4 linked regions of the Caenorhabditis elegans genome follow. The protein of the gene in region 1 interacts with the protein of each later gene in a pairwise test. Each region holds a gene or a part of one and is shown in the gene's direction. Other genes may lie near its edges.

Region 1 (4,602 bases):
GCTTCGTATCCCCCAATAATGTGTATAAGCCTCTAAACTACAACGGCAAGCTCAAAAATTACATTCTGCAAAAAAAAACTAATCAACTTTTTTCCAGTTTATGAGTTTTTGAGCTGAAGTGTTTTGTGCCAATCACCAAACAAGACTTGTCCATTTTTTGTTCTGAAATCGATGTTTTAGACTGTATTTCAAGCTTATATGATACACTGTCTTGGGAAAATAGGTTATTGAACCATCTGACTTTGGTTTGACAAAAGCATAAAAGTGACAAAGTCTAATACCTCACAGTTTTGAAACTTTCGTTCAAGACTGTAATAATTATTAATTAGAAATAGCTAACTAGAACCGATATACATAGGTACTTAATTCTATATATCTATATACCTATATAATTATATATATACCGAATTCTATAACACACCATGGAATTTTACCATATATTCCCTTTTTAGTACGTTTATATCTCGGTTGTCTTTGATCATATTTCAAAAATTCAAAATTCAAACGACACAATTTTTTTCAAATCTATCGTTATGCTTTGGTTTTTGAAGGTATCAAAAATATTTTTAAACCGTTGAAATATGAGCCGACAAAGTCGATTGACGGGGGGCCATACTAATAGGGAATGTACGGTATATATAATTTATGTACATATATGTATTATAACGTATGATAACATTCATACACTTCCTTTTTTTGACTAACTCAATTGCATGGAATTTGAATTTAAGACTACACACATTTTCCAAACAATTACTATTTTTCTTCTCTCATATCTCTAATTACTCCGATACTATTCAAAAATTCAATTCCCCATCCCCCCAGAAAACCCCAAAATTACTCCAAATTCCACGCATCCCAAATTCAATTTCCTTTACATGACCCCTTTTCCCCATTCTCCTACCCTTCTGCCTACCAATATGTCGTCAAATTCAATGTCTGCGTACCCGATATATGCGTATGTATTGAATGGAATAACACACCATTTGACGACATTTTCCCCGTTTAAACTAACAACTTTTCAAGGTTGTTTATTGGATTTTGCAGGGTTTTGTATGGGAAAAGTTCAGGATTTTCCTATAAAATCAATATTTCTTTGGAATTTATAATTGTTTAAGTACTGTGATAACTACTTAAATAGAACTTGTTTTATTTGAGTTTGTTAAAATTTAATTTGTTCATAATGTAACCGCTTTAAACGGGGCTTTTTTACTATTATTAAATTTAAAAGTTGACCTATTATAACTTTTTCTCAATAAGAAGTTTCAATTTTCATACTAATTACTACTTCTATACAGTTTTTTTCGATGTTACTTTAAAAAATTGAAAACTTGTCCTTATAAATTAGAATTTTCTGGTTATTCTTATTATTTCTGTTGAAATTGAACTTTAAAACGTTTTCAATTGTTCTTTGAGTTAAAATATTAATTTTTATAACAAAATTTAAAAAAAAAACCGCAGTCTTCAAAAAGCATAAGAAACAAACTGAACTTCATTGCTTTTTCCGCTTCTATTTGTATATACGATTAGCCTCTATTTACCCTGTGATTTTTGATTATTTTCTTTTTGTATATAACAACTTTTATATTCCAGAATGTCAGAGGACCCATCATGGTACAAGACCTCCATGTCAAGTACGTCTTCTTGTATTGAGGAGGAACATGAGCCTGTCGATCAGGATGAGGAAGAGGTTAGTATTTTTGTTTGTTTCTAAAAAAAAAATTAAAGCTTTATACCAAATTCTAACAATTTTTTTGTTGGATATAGCAATATAATGATGTTTTTCAAGTAGTGTCGGAAAATTAAAAAGTTTAGAAAATGAACGTTACCGCTGTAAGCATGTATTTTAATACTGTTGTGACGTCATAAATGTATTTAAATAAGGTAGCTGTTATACCGTCATCACGTACAATTTTAAGAATTTATTTGAGCTTTCACACTACAATATTTCGATACGTTTTCAAAATCAAAGCTATAACTAACTGTAACGCTATGTCCTTTGTTATACGTTACAACGTTTTATTACACACTATAATATAGATTTAGCCTGATTTCAAATGTTATAAATTATACGTTATCAACAAGATTAAAAGGTTAAGGTTATAGTATCATATATTAAAAAAACGTTAAAATTTTAATTGAACGATCATATTAAAACAACGTTTTTACATGTGTAACGAATTATAACGTTAGTTTTTAAAATAAAGGTTATAAAGTATCGTGTAATATTTTTAAAAAAAGTTAAAACGTAACGTTAAGTTAAGGCTATACATAGTATATTTTTCGTAATAAGGTATAACGTTTTAAAGGTGGGGATATTGTCTAAGTACACTTATTATGATCCAAAACGACCAAATATCATAATATAACACAATTTTAGATTTTTCATAATTTCCGGCCTAAGTTTTGGCATATTGCCAAAACTTTGAAAAATCAGAGCTTTTGAAAAAAAGTCCAAAGGTATGCCGCATGTTTCGACCCCTACAATGTTTTAATACGAATAATTAAAACAAGATTACAGAATTAAAAATGTAGAAAAACAATTTTTTTTTGGTCGACTTCCAAAATTATGAGTGGCAAAAACTCAGTAATTGTCACCACTTTTTGACAATAAATAAAAAATTTTCAAAAATTTTTTGAAAAGTTTTATTATGATATTAGATCATTTTGGGACTTTTGGTTTTTAACAACTTCCCCACTGGCACTACTCCACCTTTAAGATGTATGTTTTAACGGTATAACGTATAGGGTTAAAAGCAACTTTAAATTAAGGTTTTTACATAGTTGAACGATTTTGTCCATTTTTGTCGCGATGCTTGTTCCACTAGCAAAAACTGAACATGCTCACACTTTCTTTGAAAACCGCGAAAAATTAATGCCAAAAGATAGAAAACCATTCAAAACGCGTTTACTACCCCTGAAACAAAACGTCTAATAATATGAGAGTCAGGTCAAAAATAAAAGAGACACTTTTCTCATTCTCCTCCCATCCACTTTTTTCTCGTTTTTCAACATAGTGTAAATGAGAAATGTGTGTGTATGAAAAAGAAAAAGAGCCTCTTCTTCTTCTTCTTTCTTCTTCCACACAACTTCCCGAGGGACCCCCTTTTCCCAGTTTTAACCAGACATTGATATCATGCCCTTCTTAGAAGAGAGAGAGAGAGAGAAGACTCTTTTTGTTTCTATTCAACTCGTGTGTCGCTTATTTGACTTTTGATGTCTACTGGTAGCCTAGTTATGAGAAAAATTACAATAGATTTTAGAATTCTTAGGCTGTATGGGTACTGTAATTTATCACCTATAGGAAAAATTGATAGCATTACATATATGGTTTTAAATTACTCATAATTTGGGGTAGATCAAAAAAGAGAAACTTTTTAAATTGGTATCTAACAAATGCTATATCTATATAGTTGATTTATTATTTTCCAAGAAGTTATGAAAAATTAGTCTTTCACCATTTTTGATTCGGCAAAGTTTAGCGGTAATTTACATTCATGAACAACAGTTGCCAAAAATGTTTTTCTGCATCTTATAGTGAATTTTCATATTATTTTATAAGTTTCAGGAATAACAATTTAAAAATTTGTATGTATAGGCAAATACTGTTTGTGGTTTTAGTTTCACCGTTATAAAATAAGTAGTCGTTTTCTTAATATAAAAAATTGGATTTTTTAGGAAATTGATAATAATGGTACGGTTTCTATGTAGTAGCTGCGGTCCAAAACTTTTGACCAGTTTAAAAAGTTAAGCTTACAATTAGCAAATGCTTTTTCTATACTTTGGTTTAGTTGCAACATAATTAACAAAACTAACTGTTTTAAATCTAAAATTACGGCAATTTCTGTGCAGTTTTTCTAAAACCTAAAAATCACCTATTTTTGATTGTTTATAATTAAGTAGCAAGAAAGTGTCCTAGCCAAAAAATAGGAAATTTCTTGCTCTTTCAGACCAGTATACTAACGTCTCTGTACCTACGATATTCATTTCAAAAATCTTTTTCTAAAACCTAAAAATCACCTAATCACCTATATTCCAGATGTACAACCCGAGTGGATGCACGTGGCAACTTCTCTCCGTCTCCTTACACAGAGTATGTTTCTTTTTGTTTATATTTTAAACATTGTCTAATTCCTCCCTGACCATAAACAAAACCCGTTTCCCATTTTTTTTCTCCTACTCGGGTATAAATGATTTATCGTCCATGTATGCAAGGGACAATTGTGTATAGGTATAGGGGTATACATTCCGTTTAGGCAATCTGTATAGAAATTTCCAGGTAAACTCGTTACTTGATACAGGTCGAATGTCAATTACCTGTCAACCTATCTATTTAGCACAGTTACAAATATATGTACATAGAAGAACTATTTTCTGATAGTGAGTCGAAAATTTTGTTATTTATACCTTACTTGAATTATGTGTTGAGTTTCTAAAAAAAACTCCCCTAACTCGGTTAAATTTCGGATTTTCATAAAAATTATCTACTAAATTCTGAGCTTAATTAAAAATTTATTATAATTTCCTAAACTAGGGTGCCAAGCTGTCCTCAGCACACTCTTAACCATGCGAATCCAGTTTAGAAGCCTGCGTCTAAAATCC
Region 2 (4,852 bases), on another chromosome or scaffold:
ACAAGTACATTGTACAATAATAGATCAGTTTCTGAAAATATCGAAACTCCGAGTTTTTTAGCGTCGATGCACCATGCTCCAACACGAGCTTTCCCCCCCCCCCCCCCCCCCCTCCCCCAAACCAGCAAAAAGGAAAACAAGAAAAACCACTAGAAGCCATGTAAGTCAGCTATCAATCATTGTGTCCCCGTCCCTCCGTTGACACTTGATTCTCGAATTTTCACTGAGCTTCTCTAGACTTTTGCATTTTTAACATGAACCAATATGTAGATCCTATGCTAAAGTTTTTGTACCCAGAAATTTCTGACATTTTTTCAAATAAAATTTCACATTTTTCGGCGCAAAAATATAAAAAATTTTTGAAATTTAAAAAGTTCAAATTTTCGAGCTTTCTCTACATTTTCCAGAGGCTCGAAAAATTGTCTGCGCTCTCATCTACTAGTATTTTTTGGGTAATTCAGTTTTCACCCAAATGTAAATTTCACCCACTCTCCTTACGCCCGGCTCCATTTGATTTTGTTTCATGTTTCTCTCCGTCTCCATGTGCATTTTGGATGCGGCTTCTCCCCTTTTTTCGACGCAGAAAAGGGGGTATAACATTTCGACTTTACGGGATTATACGCTTTTTCGTCTCGCCTTCTTTCTTGTTTCACTTCAATGAATACAAGATTACCCACACATCTCTTGAAATTAAGAAATGTTTCGTTTTAAATTCTCCAAATAGCTTTAAATTTTGAGGAAAGTTCCTAGCTCTCAGATGTGCTCAGCGATCTTAAACCTAGTAATGTATATACTTTTCTGATTTTAAAATTTGAAAACCATGACTGAAAAGGCCCGAATAGTTTCTTTCGTGAGTTAGTCTTTTTTTTTCTTCCTTTTTTTTCCTATTTTTTCTTCAAATTTGATTAGACATCTTCCAGTGTCAAGCCATAATTAAAAAGTGACGTTTCTTTTTTTTTTTTTGAAAGTCTCTTCTTCTTTGAAAAAATTTTGAAATTTCTTCTTTTAAGCTCGAAATGCTCCAAATAAGTATTCACATTTTTCTTTAAAAAAAACTGTAGCAATGAGAGATTTCAAATAGTCCAAGTCCTGAATTTTTCGGTCTCGAGCTCGCGGAGCCCAGTGTCTTTCAGCTCTAAAAAGCACAAATTTGAATTTTTGAGGAAAATGAACACAAGTATCAGAATCAGCGTGTTTAGTGTTTTCAGATAATATTCATATTGTCCAGGTTCTGAAATTTCTGGGTTTTGGCTCGCGGAGCACCGGCAAGAGCCCGTTTCCAGAAAATCGACACTTTTTGGTGCTCCGCGAGCCCATTCCTCAAAAATTCAAAGTCTAGCCATGTTTATTCTTTTCTAAACCGCAAAATCTAGGGGAATTCAAAAATTCTAATCACACAGCCTAAAAGCTTAAACTAAAAATGTTAGGCCACCAACCTTGCCTCTAAACAATCTCAAAATTTCATCAAAAAGTTTGTGGGGCCCCTTAGGGGGACTGACGTTCTCGCTTTTCAAATTGATGCCCCTATTCCTCGCCACTTTCCTCCATCTTTTTTCTCTTTATCTCTAAGTTTCTCTCTGTGCTCTCTCTCTCTCTCTCTATTCACTTCCTTAGCTTCAACCCCTCCAGACACTTTCCCCTTTTCTCCTTCACCCACAAAATGTACATTTCATGGTTTTTTTTTTTGGTTTTTGAGTTGTTTCTAGTTATTTTTAACTCTAATTATGGGTTGAAAAGGTCTCTGGGGAAATTTTAAGAAAATTTGTGGCTTCTCTCTGACATTTTGCTCTTTTTCCCCCTTTTTTTGCTCACGAAAATCCAATTTTCCAGTTTCAGAAAATGAATTTCTTCAAGCGAAAATTCTCGTTTTCCGAGGATGAGGGTGAGCCAATGGATGACGTGAACTCGGGACCGCCGAGCTCTTTTTCATTTCAGTCGATTGCTAATAAGGTGTCTAATACGATAAGGTACGAAATTTTAAAATAAAATAAAAAATCTCAAATATTTGTGTGCTCCGTGAGCTCGGCCGGCTGGGAAGACTCCAGTTTAGAAAACTTTGAAAGTTTGAATTTGACACCCACATAGCTTGGTTTTTAAAAATTTTGAGTTTGGAGCTCCCGGAGCTCACAGAGCAGCCGATCCTCCAAATCTCTAAAATTCCAAACCTAGGCCGCCTTGAGCTTTTTAATCTGAAAATTCAAATGAAATTTTCAAAAACCTTTTTTTAATATATTTTTCCCAGTTTCCAGTCAATTTTGTCTGACAAAAATTTAAAAAAAGAGCTCAATATGCTTCATTTTCCAGATTTTTCAAATTCCAGTTCAGAATTGTTGTACAGCCTGCCAATAGCATCAATTTGACACCCATATTGCTTGGTTTAAAAAAATTTGATTCTGGAGCTCCCGGGCTCACAGAGCCGCTCATGCTTCAAATCTCTAAAGCTCCAAGCCTAGGCTTGTTTATACTTTTCTGAACAGGCTCGAACTTTTTTGTTTGAAAAATTGATTCTAAAAGATTCTTATCAGTTCAGATAATGCTCGCGGAGCACAGGAATGCTCCAAATCTCTTAATTCTAAACCTGGGCTTGTTTATACTTATCTGAACCACCTGATCTTTTCAAATTCCAAAATTTCACCAGATCATTTAAAAAGCTCAAATTAAAAGTTTTATTTCAAAAAATACACAAATTCTCAAGAAAATTTGTCATCCACTTCAAAAAAAAAAAAGAAAGAACCAAAAAACCCGCTAGCGAAAACATTCATTAAAATTGTAGTGTGCGGCTCTTTTGAGACTGCCAAAGATAAAAAAAAAATAAAATATAGTGTAAAATGAGAGAATCGTGGGAAATTTTCCTCAGAGAATTTCCTTCATTTTTCCCGAGAAAATGCAAATCTGGGTATCTCCATGGAAACCCGCACATTTTTTTTCTATATTCTGTTCTGCTGCCAAGATAACATGTGTTTAAATCACTTTGTCAGATATGTTCACTTATTTCAGTGCTCCAACGTCACCTGCCAAGTCTCGGGAATCACTTGCCGCTGCACTGGAGAGGTCACTCAATCATGATAGGTTTGTTAGCTGGAATTTTGCTTTAAAATTGTTCGAAACAAAAAATTAATAAAAAATTTGAGTTTGGCTCAAGAGAGAGCTTTCATTTGAGTATAATCATGACATGTTTTGATCAAATTTCAAAACTTAGCGATCCTGCCGCGAAAACCTGGGAATTTTCGTGATGGGACCCAATATTTTATGACAAATTTATAAGAATTGAACAATTTACAAACGCACATCAAAGATTTTTGCTTTAAAAAACCAATTTTTATTTATTTATTTATTTACCAGCCGTGGACCGCACCTTCGGCGCGGCCCCCGACTTCTGGGGCTGAAAATTAATTTTTTATGAAACTACCGTAACCCTACAGTATTCCTACCGTACCACTATTGTACCACTACAGTACCCCGACTATATCCCTACACTAACCCCCAACTCACTATCCCTCCAGAAGCTAAAACTTCGCAGACTACAAAGACTACATAGACTACAAACTATGGACAAACGGAATAAGCGCTTTATATATAGTAAATGATTTTGATTCAATTATTTGTATTAAAACATTGTAGGGGTCGAAACATGCGACATTGCTTGGGATTTCCTCAAGAGCTCATATTTTTTCGAAATTTTGGCAATTTGCCAAAACTTTGTCCGGAAATTTTGAAAAATCTAAAATTTTTTAGAGTTTTTTGATGTGATACTCGGTTGTCTTAAATCATTATAAGTGTATTAAAAAAAAAAAACAAAAAAAAATCCACTGACGCTACTCCATCTTTGAAAATTGGTCAGTTTTATTGATAATATATCATAAAAAATTTCACACCCGTAAAATTGCTCGAAATACAGCTTTTTGCAGACATTCGATTATTTTAAATATGTACAAGGCTAGGTAAATACTCTGGTAACATTTTGGAAGTTTTAATTTTTTTTGAAAAAATTATTTTACCATGCGAAAGGCTTACTCAGGTTTAGGCCTAGGCTTTGGTTTAGGCTTAGGCTTAGGCTTAGTCTTAAGCTTAGGCTTTCGCGTAGGGTTAGGCTTAGTCTTAAGCTTACTCTTAGGCTTAGGTTTAGACCTAGGCTAAAACTTATGCCTTGGCTTGGCGTCAGTGACGCTATTTAGGGTTAGGATTACAGCAGCACTGACGCTATTTAGGGTTAGGATTACAGCAGCACTGACGCTATTTAGGGTTAGGATTACAGCGTTTTTTTCATTTTTCAAAGGGTTCCCGTTGGCCGATCAAAGCGAAATTTAACACAGAGACGTATAGGCCACTAAGAAGCTTTCGTGTAAAATTTCAAATTGATTCCATCAAAACTCGCCGAGTTATGAAGCTTAAGGTGTTTTCAAAATGACCCTCAACTATTTTTTTAAATTTGAAAGTTTGGCGTTTTGTCAGTTTTCTGTCTAAGCTCACGAAAATTTAATGACAGGAGGACGGCAGTGAAATAAGTTTTCTTGTGAATTTTGAGCCAATTTCGATTTACAGGAGCCGAGATATTAAGCTTCAAAATCCAAAAAAAAATGACCCTCGCTCCGCCCCTTTTTGTCGACAAAAAGATTTCACTTTGAAAACGCGCGTGTAACTTGACGGTGGGTGGATGGATTTTGATGCGGTTTTTTGCTGTCTTTTCAAAAAGCTTGCCCTACCTCTGTATTCTTTTTTTCAGAAAGATTGGAGCTCATTGAGCCGAGATATTTTGAGTCAAACTCAAAAATCGCTATTTTCCGTCATTTTCGGGTGGTTTTAATTGAAGGAAAATTCGAATACTTGAGATTATTTCACGATTTTTTAGGGG
Region 3 (4,631 bases), on another chromosome or scaffold:
AAAAATAATTTGAGAAAGGTATTCCCTGACGTACCGAAGTTTCAAATTACACACACTCTCGGCATCTTTATACAATATCACTCTTACTCTTTGAACTCTCTGAAACATAATATTTGATCTTTTGATACATGATTTTCAGATTGAATGTGGAGTTCCACTGCTGAATTACAATATGGAAAACTTACAAGGTGTTGGATAGAAAAAAGTAAGAATGAAAACAGTTTGGTTCATATAAGTTTATTATAAAATAATTTGTTTTTAACTGAAAAATTGTCAGCTTATGTTTTTACCATTTTTGGGATTCATCTCATTTTGAGACCTAGAAAGGCAATATATTTTAATTTTTAACGCGACTGGGGCATTTAAGTGTCCTATATCGTTTTCCACATTGCTCTATTCGGCCAAGTCTGGTAGCTTATTCTCTGGTTTCTTTCTAAATAGGAAATTATGCAGCTTATTGTAAGATGAGGCCAATCAACTAAATTGTTCTTTGACCCAATGCTAAACCTACATAGTTGAATTGCAATGTGGTCATAAAGAACCGCGAAGAATTGACATTATGAACGTACAATGCAGATATCATCAATGAAACCATGCACAATGCGCACGCCGCGATTTGCAAAAATGTGCACATCATGATCGTCCTATTGTGACAGGTCTATAAATCCATTGCTTTCGAGTTGCTCAGTTTCAAAGTGGCATTTTCATTTAACAACTTTTGAAATCCTTAATACTCATACAACAACCAGCGACGTCATTTCCATCCGTTCCCAAATTGCTCATTGATTCCGATTTCAAAATACTCTCAAATATCCTTTGTGAAGCGTGTCTCGTCAACTTTGCCTTCGCCCTGCAGCTCTTCATTGAGAACTTTGTAAAAATTTTGGGATCTTCAACGTCGACGAGAAATGAAGAGTTAGGTGGGAAGTGCCATCCCATCCACCTTTCTCCTCCTCCGCAAAATCTGTGGGCAGCTCCGGGGGGCTCCCGGGACATTCATCTTTCCCATCTTTTTTCGTCGTTTCGTTCTCCGACTAGCGACCAGGAGGCGGAGAAAGAGCTTAGCAGCAGAAGAAGTAGAAATTACAACACCTTCGTGAAACAGAGAAAAAGATAAAGGGAAAATGGGACTCTAACAGCGACCTCTTGGCACTTTTGTCAGTTGGAAACTACAAGCGAGACATCATTTTTCTCCTCTTCATATTTTTTGTTCTCCTCTCAAATTTGTTTTTTTTAAATTTATTCTTGAGTGCTGATCTCAATGCACAAAAAACATGACTAAAATCAACTGTTATATGTACAAAAAACCAGTGATTCAATTTTCGAAGCATTTTTCAACCTTCAACCATTGGTCTTTTTGCCTTTTTCTTTTTTTTCTCAGCATTATAAAGTGTTTTCCCTCAAAATACTGTTGACACATCTTGTCTAGATCTTCTCCAACATTCCCCTACTTGTGCTTGTTCATTGAGAACATAAAACATTGTTTGCTTAGTTCTCCCACCCAAAAGCCACTACGAACTACCGTTCAAGAAGTCTTTCGTCTCCTATTTTCCTGTGAACTCAATGGATAAATGATGGTAAAAACACATTGGCAGATCATTTTTCATTCGCTCTTGGCGGCGCTCTTACCTGATCAGAAAACACGCCCCTCTTTTCTTTTAGTGTGTAAAACTTTAGGTTACCGAGATTCCGTATATTCATGGCTTCGTATTCAATCATAAAACTACAGATTTTAATTTTTTCAGATATGGCACCACCATCAATTTACGGAGAACCAAAAATTAGATCAGAGAACGGGTCGGTGTTCCTTGAGGTACGAATTTGCTTTTCCTTTTGAAAATTGCTAAGTTTTCTTCCAGGTCATCGTCACTGGAGCTGATGTTTCTAAGATTCAGTGGTTTTTCGGACCAGACGAGCTTGAGGAGAACGAGTTCCTGAAGTTCTCAAACAGTGACGAAGGAGGCAACCGCACCAAGTTTGTTGCCGAAATCAAGGTCAGTTTGAGAGCAACTGTTTGCCAAAGCATCTCGTATAAATCACATAAAACGACTCACGAGTCATTTTATGGTCCCATTGCTGCGATGCGCTCTGCAACTGTTGTCTGTATGTGTTTTGATCTGCGTTTAATTGGTTTTTGATGGACTTACCGTAGATTTTGGGCAAAAGTGCGGCAAAAGCAGAATTAGCTGTCGGTCGGGAGGTGAAAAGCAAAACATAACAACGGTTAAGCATTTGATCAAAAGGAAACTCTAAGTACATTCATCATTACAAAATACTTTTTACTTTACTATATTCTTTATTTTTTTCGTATCTCACATTAAATATACATCAATAACGTGAACTGTAATTTTGAAAATTCAGTAAACATTAAAAAAAGCCGTGCAGTTTGAACTTCACATTAGGAACTATAATTGTAAAAGTTACTAATGATAGTAGTAGTTGAAAAACAAACCACATAAGCTACATTACTGGTAAAACGGAAAAGCAACTGAAAAACTGTCCAACGGTCCAAAATGCCGCAGACTGAAAAAAAAAACTGATGTCCGCCGGTGGTCTGTCTCCATGTCAGCCAATAAGCCGATTGTCGACCGCCCCGGTCGCAAATTTCGTTTTTCTAAGCTTAAAAAAAAACTCCGAACACAAAAACGATTTTATCAGCTGCCATTGGGCCGCTTCTGAGCAATCCCGCTTTACCTGTGATAAAAAATAATCGGAATTATGAATTTTAACTGTTAACAAAACACCTTTTTGCTTCTTTAAATCATCATTTTATAGGACTTTGATAAACCACTTGCCGGAGAATACAAAGCCGTCTTTGCCAACGCCGATGGAGAGAACAGCTCTAACTTCACAGTCGCAGCAGGAAGTGAGCTCATTATCAAAAACACTAAAAGCTTACACATACAATTTCAGACGCCCCAGACTTCCATGACAAGCCACATATTGTTCAAAGAGATAACGGAAATGTGATTGTGATTAAGGTCCGCGCAAAGTCCCACCTTGAGATGAAGGCCGAATGGTTCAAGGTATGTCTGTCACCTTACTTTGAATCTTAGGGGAAAAAATTTCCCTGAATTCTTATTCGGTATTTTTCTTGGCATTGCTAAATTCATTTTGGTTGAACCAGAATAGAGCTTCTCGAAGATGGATCGACTGACTGACGTGTCTTTTTTCTTTTGTCTTCTTTCTTCCACCGAAGAAAAAAATGTAGTTGTCCTAATTTCCACATTTATGTTAGTCGAAGTGAACCTCTCCGGCTTTCTCAAGGGGATTCAAAATAGAAAGGCAGAGATGGGTAATGTAAAGAAGTGTGGAAATAAGACAAAAGTTGGGAGGCCTCCTCGTCCGCGCCTTTGGGTTGTGCCGAGACAGATACTTGAGGCTCATGGAGCAGATAGAGCGAAGTTTTGAGTAGTGAACAAAAAAGAGAAATGGCGCAAAAAACTAAAAGCAAAAAGGTTCAATAAACATTAAAAGAATTCACTTGTTGTCTGGTTCAAAATGTAAAATGAAAAATGAAAAATGAACATTTCAATGGGCATGCTTGGAACCAAGTTTGAGTTTTTTTGGAATGCTTTGATAAATAAAATTAACAAACTTGTTTTGGAAAAAATTTTCTGAACGACCGTCTAGTATAAATCATTTTTAAATTAACAGAAAAAAAGTAAATTTCATATTTTTCACTAATTCATTCTTCCAGGATGAAAAACCAGTGAAATTCACTGACCGAGTTAAGGCTGTTGTAAAGAAGGACGATAAGGACAAAGACGGATTCCAATTCCTACTCGAAATCACCGGACCACAAAAAGACGATGAAGCAAAATACAAGTGCGTTGTCAAGAACTCCGAAGGACAAAACCAACAAGCGTTGAACTTGGTTTTCGATTAATTTTATAAATTTTCCCTTGGTTTTTAATTGTCATACAATTCAATTCATAAAGCCTCAAATCAATTTTCATGTTAATCGTTGCTTCTGATTTTCGATTTTGGTAGTTGCACTTTCCGCTTTTTTTTCTTCTGTAACTTTTAACGTTTTGTAGTATTTGTCTTCTCAAAGTAATTTGAACTTTGTGTCCCATGCACATGAATTGGTATCAGCCAAAATAAAAAAGTTTCTTGACACATTGAACATGAGAAGATATACTTGCAAGTACAGAAATCAATATATATATATACAGTGCTGGCCAAAAAGATATCCACTTTCAGTTTTTTGACGATTTCGATATTTTTTCCAATGGGCATAACTTCAAAACTAGGAAAGGTACCAAAAAATTTTCAACTGGTAAAATGTAGCTCGTGATCAGGCCTATGTATTTTTACATGTTGCAATTATTCATCCATCACATGGCAAGTAATAAAGCGGCGGGCATCTCGTGAGTCCGTTTTTGACGATGATTACTAAAACGACTGTAACTCAAGAAACATATTTTTAATGAAAGGTTTGAGAAAGTAACAAAATGTTTATTTAATTTTTCATTGTTTGAACATATCAACTTTGTCCTAAAACCTCCATTTAAAAAAATGTGTGCGCTGAAACTAGTGTCTCATTAGACACTGTTTAGAGGCTTTGTTCAAAAATCAGGTTTCTTGGATTGAAAATCTTTTTCCGACAATTTTTGTGAAGAACTGAT
Region 4 (4,610 bases), on another chromosome or scaffold:
AATATACCTCGGTTTGAAGAGTGGATTGAACAGTCTGCATGTAGTTGTACAACGAGGGAATAGCGACGATGGCAGTCAAAGTAGCCACGGTACTAAAATGAAATTTTTAATTTAAAATTAAATTGAAAAATCAAAGAAAAATACCTGATGCAGATACCGAAAAAGGCAATCTTGCGAAGGCCTTCAGCTTCTTGCATCAACTTCTTCTCGTCTTGTTGGTACATGCTTGTGTTGTTCGAATCTAATGAGGAAACGATGCCATTTGCCATTCAAGGCGGCGCTTATATACCCAACTTTAAACTGTCTAACGAGCCGCTTCTTCGCAACAGGTCACTACTGAAAAAACGGCATCGGCGCCGTGCCTTATGCAGTTCAGCGTAACAAAAACACGGTCTGCGTCGACGGGCTTGCATTCGGCGTCTCGTACCTTTTCAGTATCTCTTCCCGCGTTTTGGTTTTTTGTGAGCGCAAGGTTGCCGATACGCGTTGATTTTCGATGAACCTGTGAAACAACGATGGTATCTCTGTGGATGGAGATAGAAATCTTTTTTTGACGCCTTGAAGATGTTTAAGCTGCGAAAAGAATATTTCAAAGCGATGGCAAATTGCATGATTCTCGATACATTACAACCTAGTAAAACATGATTTAAGACTTAAGTTTTTGTCTGTGTGAATGGGTGAAAGCTTTAGATCGGTATCGTTTTATTTGTTATCTGTAGTAATCTGTTAAATCTGTAAGTTGATCAAACACCGAGGTTAGTACTTTCATTGTGTTTGTGGGAAAGCCCAGCCAAAGTAAACAGAAACTAGTTCAAATTTAAACTACCGCCTACGATATGTGTCATTGTCGAAATGAGTAATGAGTAAATTTGAATAAATGTGCAATTTTGAAATTTTGTGATTTCATCGAAACTGTTACATCATATCGTAAATATTTTGCTCTTTCGTGTATATCCAACTCGTCTTTTTTGGCTCTCGTGCCTACTACATACTCAAGTTCCTTCATGCCTTCCTGTTTCAATAAGAACATGTACAACCAGGTAGCGATTTGTTGTGCCTACGTGACTTTTTTGTGCTGCTCAAAATTTAACAAACAACAGTTTATTTTTACGACTCTAAGTATTACTCTTTTGGATTTATTTTCAGAAGTTATTTCATATTGCTCAAGCCTAGTAGAACTGAGACTAAACTTGATCTTCGCAGATTTTTAGTCTAATAGTTATAGAAAATTTTCTGCCAATTTACCTAGAAAAACAAAATCATGTTTTTTGCCAACAATGTCCGGGAACTATGTTTCTATTTGTGTGCGCATGTGCTCAGTGGCTTCTTTACGCGCTATCCGTGCCGTCCACAAAAACCTATCCTAATCATCTCATCAATTTCCGTTTTTTTTTCTTTCGTTTTTCGCACCTCATGCTCATTCATTATCGGGCGAGAAAGAGATATTTTGTGGCCGGCGATTAAATGCGATTATCACTCCCCAGAGACCGCAAAAGTCGAGTAGTTTTCCCGTTAGGAGCACCAGACTCCCTCCCGGGGGCCGGCTGGCCACCGCCTCTTCTTTTTTGAGCAAACAATAGGAAGGAGGCCATGCTCCCACCCCTGGAGACCCTCCTGGACATTCAGTACGTAGTCCAACTAACGAGGTATCTGCCAACGACATCAGCATGAAAAATACTGTTTTGATATTCTTAGTTCTATTTTTTATTCACACGGTATTTAACTTTTTTCTTAGAAAACTGAAAACTGATTTTTTTTTTTGATATTGTACTTAAATGTTCTAGCAATCTTACTTTTAGTAGCACAATAAAAGTATATGTTAGTGTTTTAGAACTATTTTGATTTTTAACTGAAAATTATTAATCATAGTAAGAACAAGGTGAAAAACCAAAAATTAGATGAAAATTGTAAACTTGCACCATAGCCAATCACTTTTCAATAAATATTTAAGTCTAAGTTCAAATTCTAGACTGATGCGAAATCCCCAACACGAAGCAAACGCCAATGCGGATGTTCATCGAAACCTCAAATGGCTTGTAAATGTTCAACTTCTACAAACATCTCAAATCGTGTATGTTCATGCTCCCCACTCCCGTAAGTATCAATTACTCGTCTTCCTGCCTAACGTCCGTCCAGTTCCAGTTCAACATCTTCTTGTGGATGTCAAGCTTCTTCTTCGTGTGCCAATTCCTGTCGTTCCACGTGTCGACCGACTTGCTCGTCTTCCGGAGGATTCGGATGTCGTATGAATTGCCAGAATACGTGTGTAAATGCATGTAACAAACAATTCGCGTAAGAAATCTTATCTGCATCTTTTGGCATGAACACCCTTGAAACGCCTTTAAGATTCTCTAATGTCTAAAATTGTAATATTTTCAGGCCGACTTCATCCTCTTCAATTGTTCAAATTAAAAACCAACCATCTGTAATTCGAGCAGTCGCTGGAAAATCATGTCTTTCGGGTTGTAATTCACAGGTTTTATTTTGAATATGAAAATCATGCATATTAAAAGTATTTAGTGCTCAAACGTTTGTCAACAAAAACAGTACAGTTCGTCGCAATGTGCAAGCTCTTGTAATCGATCGTGCTCTCGAGTTTGTCAATCAAACCCTTCAGCAAGCTCTTCACAATCACAAACAACAACACAGACACCATTGAAGGTATAGTTTTAATTTTTTTGTTTTTTTTAATCAGTAATATATTTCAAAAGTTAATATTTAAATCTGATATTGCAAAGCTAACTATTTTCCAGGTGAGTATCAAAGTACTGGATGATGGAGCAAAATGCATGTCTACTTGCTCGGACACTTGCCGTTCTTCTTGCTCAAATAGAGTTTCCCAATCCACGTGCGATGCTACGTGCCAAAACACTTGCTCTTCGATGTGTCCATCTCAATCACCACAAGGATCACCACAATTACCAACTCAAACCACCACTACTAACGCACCGATTAAAATAAAAATCCAGGTTTTCCATTCATTTTTTCTATCAAAACAAATTATCTAATCAGGTTCAACAACAACAACCACAGCAATCTCCTCAAAACAGTCCTCAACAACAGGCGCAGCCACAAGCATCACAACCAATTGCACAAACTACTCAGACAATTCCTGCCTCAATTCCTCAAGCAGCGCCTCAGCAACAGGTGTGTTGGTTGAAAAAAAAAACTGCCAAGTGACTTTTTTTGCATATTAGTCATCGAGGTCATAAAAAAAACTACATTAAGAATGTTCGGAAAGTTCTTTTCCCGTATCTAAAACCAGAAGTGCCCATTTTGTATTGCAGGAGGACCGAAATCTGGGATATATTTCTTAATAAATCCGAATTTTTCACTGATTCCGAATATGTATTTTAAAAAGTCAAAAACATTTCACTGATTTCGTTACTCCACCTTTAATCCTAAAATTGTTTCAGTTTTTCTTTAAACGTTTGTAACATTATTATTAATTATTGAAGTAATTTCAGCCAAATTGCATGGCCCAGTGTCAAACTGGATGTGCAAATTCGTGTGCTCAACTTTCACCACAACCAACCGAAGGCTGCCCAACAAATTGTAGAAATACATGCAATGAAGTTTGTGCACCAACTGTGGCTTCACAACCAAGTACACAAGCCCCACAGTCATACCCAGTACTACTTGATCCCCAGCAAAGGTGAGTGAATATTATGTGAATACTTCAAAGTTAAACTCTTCAGATGTTCTTCGGAGTGTCAATCAGTTTGTCAGCTAGCCTGTGTAACTCAGAAATCAGCTCCTCCATCTAGTTGCCTTGACAAATGTTCTCCACAATGTGACTCTGCCTGTACAAGTCCTCAAGTGCAACGGAACTCTGCACAACTTTTCACACCTTCCGCCGATCAAGCACCTGCTTCATCTGCTCAACCAATAAAAATTAATATTTCGCTTGCTCCGTTGAAACCATCGGCTTCAACGTCATCTTCACCATCTCCTACCTCTCTTTAAAAAATTAAATTATTTATTTATTTAAATGTTCATCAATATTTATTGCCATGCTTGTTCCCGTTGTCTTTCAAATTTTCGACTAAAAACCAAATTAAAATATTTTATTTTCGAAAATATAATCCAATAAATACAAATATTACTGCGCTTAAGTACAATTGAAGCTTTTCAACTGAAAGGTTTTGAATAGATACTATTCAAAAAATTTTGTGAACGAGAAAAAGAAAACCCGAAATTGAAGCCAGAAACGTTACAAATTTAAAAATAATAAAACTAACAAGGAAACACCCGGTGTTGATTGGAGATTTTAATAGCAAAAAATGCAAATTTTTCAAACAGGTGGATTATTATCCGGCGGTGATAAGGCTCTTGGAGCTGGTGCTTTAACAAATTTGCCAACCGTCGAATTTTTGCTAGATTTCTTTGAAATGATAGATGTTGCAGAAGCTGTTGATGGTCGCGAGTCTGGTGCAGCTGTACTAATTGCAGAGACTGTGTGTATAGATGGAGAAGATCGAATGGATATTGATCTGAAAATTTATTTCCATTTAATTGAGTTTTAATTTTTGTCTTGCAATTTTTGATATTCTATTATATTACAAGGTTTAAAAATCCTGGTTACATTTTCAGGACTGTGGATCTTTGGT

The links.
Region 2: the proteins of zoo-1 (region 1) and snn-1 interact in a two-hybrid assay, tested with the Caenorhabditis elegans proteins (one large-scale study listed by BioGRID).
Region 3: the proteins of zoo-1 (region 1) and zig-12 interact in a two-hybrid assay, tested with the Caenorhabditis elegans proteins (one large-scale study listed by BioGRID).
Region 4: the proteins of zoo-1 (region 1) and M195.2 interact in a two-hybrid assay, tested with the Caenorhabditis elegans proteins (one large-scale study listed by BioGRID).

Annotation. Positions count from the first base shown.
Region 1 is NC_003279.8:14,527,938-14,532,539, forward strand, and holds the start of zoo-1 (Tight junction protein ZO-1), read left to right. Parts: upstream 1-1,591; 5' UTR 1,592-1,594; coding exon 1,595-1,690; intron 1,691-2,994; exon of another isoform or gene 2,995-3,043; intron 3,044-4,039; coding exon 4,040-4,093; intron 4,094-4,602.
Region 2 is NC_003282.8:1,812,084-1,816,935, reverse strand, and holds the start of snn-1 (ATP-grasp domain-containing protein), read left to right. Parts: upstream 1-1,836; 5' UTR 1,837-1,839; coding exon 1,840-1,967; intron 1,968-2,997; coding exon 2,998-3,069; intron 3,070-4,852.
Region 3 is NC_003284.9:8,762,162-8,766,792, forward strand, and holds zig-12 (Ig-like domain-containing protein), read left to right. Parts: upstream 1-1,745; 5' UTR 1,746-1,747; coding exon 1,748-1,813; intron 1,814-1,859; coding exon 1,860-1,994; intron 1,995-2,775; coding exon 2,776-2,866; intron 2,867-2,913; coding exon 2,914-3,026; intron 3,027-3,171; exon of another isoform or gene 3,172-3,317; intron 3,318-3,700; coding exon 3,701-3,889; 3' UTR 3,890-4,119; downstream 4,120-4,631.
Region 4 is NC_003280.10:8,359,122-8,363,731, forward strand, and holds M195.2 (Activated in Blocked Unfolded protein response), read left to right. Parts: upstream 1-1,631; 5' UTR 1,632-1,667; coding exon 1,668-1,715; intron 1,716-1,969; coding exon 1,970-2,094; intron 2,095-2,142; coding exon 2,143-2,292; intron 2,293-2,367; exon of another isoform or gene 2,368-2,379; coding exon 2,380-2,476; intron 2,477-2,520; coding exon 2,521-2,661; intron 2,662-2,753; coding exon 2,754-2,969; intron 2,970-3,012; coding exon 3,013-3,147; intron 3,148-3,467; coding exon 3,468-3,655; intron 3,656-3,698; coding exon 3,699-3,966; 3' UTR 3,967-4,105; downstream 4,106-4,610. Other genes in the region: col-77 (Nematode cuticle collagen N-terminal domain-containing protein), read right to left, coding at 8-92, 145-224; amt-3 (Putative ammonium transporter 3), read right to left, coding at 4,295-4,493.